Linked DNA regions of Danio rerio. The protein of the gene in region 1 purifies or fractionates together with the protein of each later gene. This does not show direct contact. Links are inferred from orthologs where the notes say so. Each region holds a gene or a part of one and is shown on either strand. Other genes may lie near its edges.

Region 1 (4,199 bases):
AGAAGGCACTAAAATTATTAAGCTCGGCTGATCTGCGTCCTAACGGAACAACCCTGACAGATCACAGCTTCTTCTGTTCACAGTCGCTGTTTTGGGTGTTCCCCGGCTCCTCCCTACACTGGGCGTTCAATCTGGATCCTCTGAGCCAGACTAGTGGGACCCGGAGCCACAGGCGAGCAGAGATAACAGATCACACTAAAAGGTGACCTTCTCCCTTTTTTTTTTGGCCTAGCCTAGAACTCCCACCTAGCAGCGATACTTGGAACAAAACGTTTTGCTCAGTCCGCAGGTCCCCTGGGTGGTTTGCTGCTGTAATGGAAAGTCTCTATGTACGCGCTCAGACAGAGTCATTTGCACACGGTGACTGCTGGGAAAGCAGCGGGCTGATGCTCGTGGCTGATGCTGTGCAGCCTGATCTCAGTGCTGTCCGTAGGGGGCGCAGTGCTCTGCATCCAATCGTGGTTGATGATGTCCTCAAAAGACGGCCGATCAGCAGGGCGGAGGGCCAGGCACCACTTGATAAGCTGCTGACATTCTGTAAAAGAACAGGATGTTTGATTAGCTCTGCTGTAAAGCCATAAAACTGCTTAAAGGTGGCGCCGTGTGATTGAGTGTGTCTCACCTGTGGAGATTCTCCTCCTGAACAGCACCTGTCCTCGCACGATCTCTTCGTCCTGCTCAAAGGGGATGTCCCCGCAGACCATATCGTACAGCAGAATGCCGAGAGACCAAACAGTGGCGGATCGACCGTGGTAGCGGTGAAATTTGATCCACTCTGGAGGACTGTAAACACGAGTGCCTGATGGGAGAACAACAAAAAAGTACAACACATAAGCATATAATCAGAAACAAACCCTCATGTGAACTTTGAAACAAACAAACCCTCATATAACCTTTCATTTTAGGATCCACTAAAGTAACCAAACACTGTAGTAAGAGGTGCGGCAGGAAAAGGTGTGCCATGTTTGAACATTATTGTTGTGGCGCAACATTACTGTGTACAGTCATGCGCTTGGGAGCGTGAGGGTAGGTGTGTGCATGTGGAGAAAACTGGTTGCCATGTGACTTGTGTTTACAAACTTTGAGTTGTAACAACTCCAGTTCCCACCGGAGGGGGCGACAAAACCAAACTCAACGAACTGCGTTTCCCCCCAAAGCAACGTTATACAAAAAAATAAACAAATCATCACGTTGGTCGATTTATTAAGCTTGACAAGGGTTGTGAACGACAAAAGGGGGTCAAGATACGCATTTCTAAAATGAGAAACGGCAGATTTGCTTAATATATGTGGTTTAAAACGCTTCTACATATAAACACACACCCTTTCAAGCTTGACAGAATTTCTAAATCAAACAACCATCAAGCGCCATCGAATTTACAACTTACAACATGGATTAAACCATTTTAGCGTGGATGTGTTTTGTTTACAAACCTCGCACTCGATGTATTTTGATATTTGTATACATTTTTATACATTTAAACATGTATACAGTATTTACATGAGAGCAGGCAAGCCTGTATTTGACGTTACACTCCCCAACCCTCTAATTCCGTGACCGTGGGAATCCCACCTTGAAGGTCATGCAAATGGCTCTTACCGTCGAAATCAGTGTAAACGGTGTCTTTCAGCAATGCTCCTGATCCGAAGTCGATGAGCTTCAGATCGCCGGTTCGCAGGTCGATGAGAATGTTCTCGTCTTTGATGTCGCGGTGAACGACGCCGCTGTTGTGGCAGTGACGCACCGCTTCCAGAACCTGGCGGAAAAAGTTCCTGGCCAGCTCCTCCGGTAACGCGCCCTTCTCCGTGATGAAATCAAACAGGTCCTTGACGACCTCCGGTCTTTCCATGACGATTATGAAGCTGTCCGGTCGCTCGTACCAGTCCAGCATTTTGATCACGCCACGGAATCCGGTCCCGACCTTCTTTAACAGGACGATCTCCATAGGGACGCGCGCGCCATTGGGCTGGAAACGGAGGACATGCTCGTTTAACTGACGCTGTCATTTATTATTTATAGGCGACATTTACACATACACATAACATGAAGATAATCTATTTAAATTACTCACCAGTTCTCCCCATTCGGTCACACGATCTTTTGCAACATGCTTGATGGCAACCTAGAAAAAAATAATAATAAACAAATCATTAAACAATGAAGCGATGCTGCATATAGAATGTTTAAATATGTTACAAAGACGTTTTATATTCATTCTAGACGTCCACGCTTATGTAAACAAAAATCCTCCATTGAGGGAACCTACCGGCGCGCCATCGGCGATCCGTAAACCCGCATACACCGTCCCGAAACCACCGCTTCCAAGCACTGTGCCGACTTGATACACTTTGTCGAAGGGCTCTTTCTCCTTAACTGTCGATAAAACATTTGATAGTTTCATAAGAATGGATAAAAGCCACAGAATTATATAATAATTGCAAATCTGACGCACGCGCTATTCCCAGCACTGTCTGCTGACGTGAACGAGCGCCCAACACACACAAACACACACACAAATGAGCACGAGAATAACCGTCCTCTAACCTTGAAGCTGGATTTTCGCCGGCATGTCCACGGTTGAAATGTGAGCAAATGTGTTGAATTTTGATAGAAGCATGTTATAATCCAAAATGCGAGTCCTTCGTGAGGGTTATTCCAATGTGGAGGTCGAAAGCCGTCGTGTTGAGATGGATGTAGGGAAGGTCTAAGCGAGGGATCCGATCTAGAAGCTTGTAGAAATCCCTTCTCATCGAGGCACGGCGGGTTTGGATTCCCAACACGAACTTAAGACGGCCGCGCGAGGTCTATTCCAGTTTGGAATATAAAACTTACAATATAAACAAACGATTAATAGCACGAAGATAAATATTATTTGTCTGAGGTGCGCGACGAACACAAACACCCGGCTTTCTAAAGCGTGAGGGAGGGGCAGAAGCCGTTATATACCAGTAGTAAAAGGGAGGGGTGAAGGTGAGTACGTCAGCAATAGCTCGTCCCACAAACAAGCCTCAGCCAATGAGTAATGCGCCAGCCTCCGCAGAAAAAGGTCAATCAAATATGAAAATAAAGGAAAACGTAGACGTGGCGGGAATCAAAACGCGCCAAATTGTCCAGGCTTTTTTGAGGGCGTTCAACCGGCGTGGGGGCAGACATGGAAAATGATTCACATGGCAGTGTGTATTAAACAACATCGACGACACGAAAAACCTGACGCAGATTCAAAACATTAATTCAGAGAAGTGAGAAGAGTACAGCCTATTACAAAAATAGATCCACACATCATAGGATATACATTAAAATGTCGCAAATGTAAGTATTTATTATATCTGATGGAAAATCTTTACATTTTATTTAATCATAAAATTATATTGAATTCAGAGCATTTACATTATATATATGCTGCAGTTTCAGTAAAGAACAACACTAAACAATAAGTAAATGAATAAGTAATATAACAATTATTTACATCCTTGTCGTCAGGTGGATTTATAGTGCAAATCATAAGTTTTATATATCTTTATAAAAAATAATAATTTCTTGTGCAGAAATTATGATGCAAAATCAACGTGTTTGCAGCTCGTCTTCATGCAAATGATGAAAGGTAACAAAGTTAAGAGAATTCTGCAGCGTTACTACAACCCACGTTTACCTTCTCACGAAACATCAAGACAAGTGTTTTGTTTGTTTTGTTTCAGTCATGTGAAGTAGGTCTTCAAAGTGTATACGGAGACCGCATGCACTGCATTACCTCATTAATCTCAAATTAGCGCGCAAAGTTTTTTTTTCTCCAATTGGCGGGCAACAGGCTTTATTTAAACTGAGAACAATGCCGGTCGCTATGGAAATGAGGCGCATACCAGGCATTCTTTCAAATTGGGTGGCCGGTTTTAAACTCGGCGGCAGGATGTGGGAAACTTGAGATAAAAGACTTCAAGTCCCTTCCCCCACGTCTCTTGTCCTCGCTTTCCCGCCCAGATTATTGTTTGAATGCCACTTGCTCTCCCCGTCTAATGTATTTTCCCCGCCCTTTTGGTAAAAGGCCTAAACATAAACAAAGTAAATGTAAACCTATATTACACCTGTTTTATGGTCACTATATGCATCTTTACTGACTGGTCAGACACCACGGACACACAGTTATTTATGAACCTGTCAGTTTTGAGATTTGGGCTTTTCATAAAGTCATTTTTTTACATAAA
Region 2 (4,132 bases), on another chromosome or scaffold:
AAACTATTAGAGCGCAGATTTCGACATGTTTCCTGAATTTAAGAAGTGACTGTAAATAAATATAGTGGTGTTTTTCCCAATAAGAGTTTTGAAAATTAACAGAAACCAATGAATTTGTTAAATTTGAAGCAAAGAATAATTCAGTAAAGAATACAGCTGACAGTGATGAATATTAAATGGCGCAAGAGTAACAAAACTATTTGCTGCATAGTAAATAACATTCAGTTTAAGAAGAAGAGTTTTTGAAGCTCATCTGTAAATTACATCCCCATAATCCAGAATTGGTAATACTGTTAATTTGAGCTGCTTTGAGGAATGTGTAAAGGAGGATTTGTTTCTGTAAAGAAAAACCAATCCAGGCTTTAACCTTTTACATGCTTTCTGTCAGCTTTTTTTAATTGAATAAATTAGTATTTTTGGAGATTTGGTGTTGCCGCCTTTTATTAATATTTAATTTGCACCTTTTGCGTTTTTTTGGCTGAGCACCCAGTTAAGAGGGATGTGCGTGCTTTTGTACAATTTTTTAAAAAGTAGAAGTACTGACTACACTTTTGTAATCAAGTAAAAGTAAAAAAGTAGCGCCTCAAAAATTTACAAAAGCAAAAAAGTAAAAAGTACCCGTTTCAACCACAGTCCAATGACATGCGGTATAGGTGAATAATAGGTAACTAAACTGGCAGTAATGTATAAGTTTCTCAGTGCTGGGTTGCCGCTGGAAGGGTATCCACTGTGTAAAACATATGCTGGAATAATTGGTGGTTCATTCCGCTGTGGCGACCCTGTATAATTCAGCAACTAAGTTTAAGGATAGTAAGTACCATAAAAAGCAATTAGTCCTCACATCCTATCGATACATTAATAAACTAACTTACATTTCTAATTCTTATGTAAAATTTTTGTTGGCAATTTTATGAAAGCAGCATCACACCCTGTAATAGGGTATGTGCCGAGCTGGTGTTTTTATTATACTGATAAACTTAAGGTGACCTGTTATTGTAATTTTTTTTTTCCCAACGTATATGGTTCCTTTTACAGCATTGATGATGTAATGTAATTAAAATACATTCAGTTAAATAAACTTTGGCATTCTTTTAGTTGATCAAGCTTAAAACGAGACAAAAAGCCGTTTACTCGTACGTGCCCATCAGAATCGGCCGGCATGTACAGTTGACCGGAAGCGTTTAACTCAGGTTACTGGCAAATTCAAAGTCCTATTAGCATGCTTCGGCATATACCCTATACTTTGCAACAACATTGCTCTAAAAGTCTGCTCATGTATGATCATCCTGACTCAAATTCACAGCGTTCATCATGTACTTTTGTGGCTGTTAGATCAAAAACAACAGCTGCTATTTATGTTCATACACTCTAAAATAATTCTGTAGGTCTGTATATCTTTATAAATAATTACATTTTACACAGTATTCTGTCCTATATATATATATATATATATATATATATATATATATATATATATATATATATATATATATACACAAGGCTCATCATATTTGACTGCAAACAATTTTTTTCCATTAGGCTAAAGCTGCTTTATTCTCTTTAAAAAGTAGTTCTCATACATAACCTGTTAATTCAGTGTTTTTATAAAGTAAATAAAGGAAACAAATGCATAAGTTTTTTTTTAATAAAGTGTTTGATTGTTTAAGTACTAAATGTACAAATCTTTACAAAAAAATCACAATATTTCCCTGTATTACAATAAAAGACCAGAGAAATCCTGTGCAATATGATCGGAAGGTGACAAAAGGGTTAAGCATTTTTAAACAGATATCTGTGTAAAAAAATGTAAGAAGTAAAAGTAAAAAGTTGTCAGAAAAAACATGTAGTGGAGTAAAGTACTGATATCAGAAAAATCTACTTAAGTACAGTAACGAATGTATTTGTACTTTGTTACTTCCCATCTCCGGAAGTAAGCGTCTATTCACACCACTAATTCATAAAAAAGGAAAGGTTTTGTAATATTTTTAAATAGCATAACGAGGCTTTTTGACTTCTTTTTAACTTTTCACTTCCAAAATGATTGGTTAACACTGACTTCCAAAGTTTCCCTCTGCTATAAGTCAATAACGACCACATTATTATTATTTTCAAATTAACTTAATTTGTGTTTAACAGAAAAAGGGAACTTATGCAGGTTTAGAAAAAAAGAGAGGTTGAATAAATGATTCTTATATATTCATTAACAAAAATCTAACAAACATTAACAAAATTCTACAACTCAAATTACATAAAGGGATTTCAAAATACCACACAAGTGTGGCTTAAGACAAATGAGACGAAAGTATCCATCCTAAAAACATCAGTAAAAATGATAAAAGACATAATAACACAGCTCTCTTTTATAATTTACCTGAAGGTAACCTCAGGCACAGTGCATTTGACTCCATTGTGGAAGGGGTTTCTGAGAGAGATGGTCTGACTGGTCTGATCCACTGAAGAAATCTCCCCTTGGTAGACTCCTAGAGTTGGTCCACAATGGATTGAAACAAGATTGCCAACCCAGTCTAATGCCATTTTGACCAGCTGAAATGAGATTCAAAGACGCTTTGTTAGTTGTCATGATGGTTTTAAATATACAGGTAACTCTTGAAGCGTTATTGGGCGTCTGAAGCATGAATACGAAGAATGTTTTGGAAGAATAAGTATTGAACGTTAGAAAGGAATATGCTAACGTTAGCCAGCTACATGTACAGCACGCAACGGGCTTATAAGCTAATTTTTCGGTTTTATAAAAATTGTAAAGTGAGTTTCTCACCTGTTTTCAAGGGCAAAACCTTTCAATTATACGGATAAGTTGTGTACTGTGATAGATTTGGATAAACTCTTCTAAAGAGCTCGACTACGCGATCGGCTTCTTCTATGAAAGTTGACTGAGTGAGGATCAGATTTGAATCTGTATTTACTGCCGCTTACTGGGCAACCGCCGAACTACATTGAGTTGCTAAAGAAGGCAGATATTTATTTTTTTGAAACTGTTAAATGATTATTATTCATTCATTTTTGTTTCTTTTCTTGGTCCCCTTATTAATCTGGGGTCGCCACAGCGGAATAAACCACCTACTTATTCAGCATATGCTTCATGCAGCGAATGCCCTTCCAGCTGCAACCCAACACTGGATTATTTTTAACAATTTATAACTTGCAGTTATTTCTCTCAGAATATTTTTACATTCTAAAATAACACATTTATATATTATTATGGTTGTGTTCATTAAGAAATTTAAATCCCCGTGAAATTAAAACTTATCAAATGATTTTATCAGCTCACATTGCTAGTTTTGCGGTGAACAATTCATCTGTGCATGTCATTAAGAAAAAAAAATCGTAATTTGTCATTTTTATCCCGTTTCTCTAGGAACTACGTCACATTACAAAAAAAAGCTTAAATCGTAGCTTCTGGTTCATGGGGACTACATTTTTTTAAACTGATTTTTAAAAAAGGTTGTCACTCACTCACTTTCCTTGTTTCTTTATTTGCCACAGCGGAATGAACCACCAATTACTCTGGCATATGTTTTACTCTTGCTGCCGCAACCCAGCCCTGAGAGTGTAACTCATGCAGTGCCCTGAGAATGTTACTTTAAAAAAACTAATTTAAATTTGAATAAATACTAAAAATAGAATTAAAATAGCAAGATACGCTTGAGATTTAGTTTTTTGATTTTTGTTAAAATTGTTTTGCATAAAATGTAATTTCTACTCTACTAGATGTCAACGGGTGTATTGAGATCATAATGCTGAAAATCTGTGTATACACAAATACAAAAATGTCAAATAATCTTGTTTAAGAATTAATTTTCTTTTCGACCTAGTCCCCTCATCAATCCGGGGTCGCCACAGCGGAATGAACCGCCAACTTATCCAGCACGTTTTTACACAGCGGATGCCCTTTCAGCCGCAACCCATCTCTGGGAAACATCCACACACACTCATTCACACACACTCATACACTATGGACAATTTAGCCTACCGAATTCACCTGTACCGCACGTCTTTGGATTGTGGTGGAAACCGGAGCACCCGGAGGAAACCCACGCGAACGCAGGGGGAACATGCAAACTCCACACAGAAACGGCAACTGACCCAGCCGAGGCTCGAATCAGCGACTTTC

The links. Proteins that work in one complex are often made in the same cells at the same time.
Region 2: the proteins of pim1 (region 1) and edc3 purify together in Homo sapiens (affinity purification with mass spectrometry; 3 studies listed by BioGRID and IntAct, counting the BioPlex papers as one, with this or other methods). This does not show direct contact. The link is inferred for Danio rerio from reciprocal best matches to the Homo sapiens genes PIM1 and EDC3.

The regions. Positions count from the first base shown.
Region 1 is NC_133183.1:11,870,907-11,875,105, reverse strand, and holds the start of pim1 (serine/threonine-protein kinase pim-1), read right to left. Parts: upstream 2,849-4,199; 5' UTR 2,618-2,848; coding exon 2,545-2,617; intron 2,374-2,544; coding exon 2,267-2,373; intron 2,123-2,266; coding exon 2,072-2,122; intron 1,967-2,071; coding exon 1,600-1,966; intron 800-1,599; coding exon 623-799; intron 536-622; coding exon 348-535; 3' UTR 1-347. UniProt on the Homo sapiens protein: Proto-oncogene with serine/threonine kinase activity involved in cell survival and cell proliferation and thus providing a selective advantage in tumorigenesis.
Region 2 is NC_133200.1:21,946,953-21,951,084, forward strand, and holds the start of edc3 (enhancer of mRNA-decapping protein 3), read right to left. Parts: upstream 2,888-4,132; 5' UTR 2,777-2,887; intron 2,545-2,776; 5' UTR 2,536-2,544; coding exon 2,372-2,535; intron 1-2,371. UniProt on the Homo sapiens protein: Binds single-stranded RNA. Involved in the process of mRNA degradation and in the positive regulation of mRNA decapping. May play a role in spermiogenesis and oogenesis.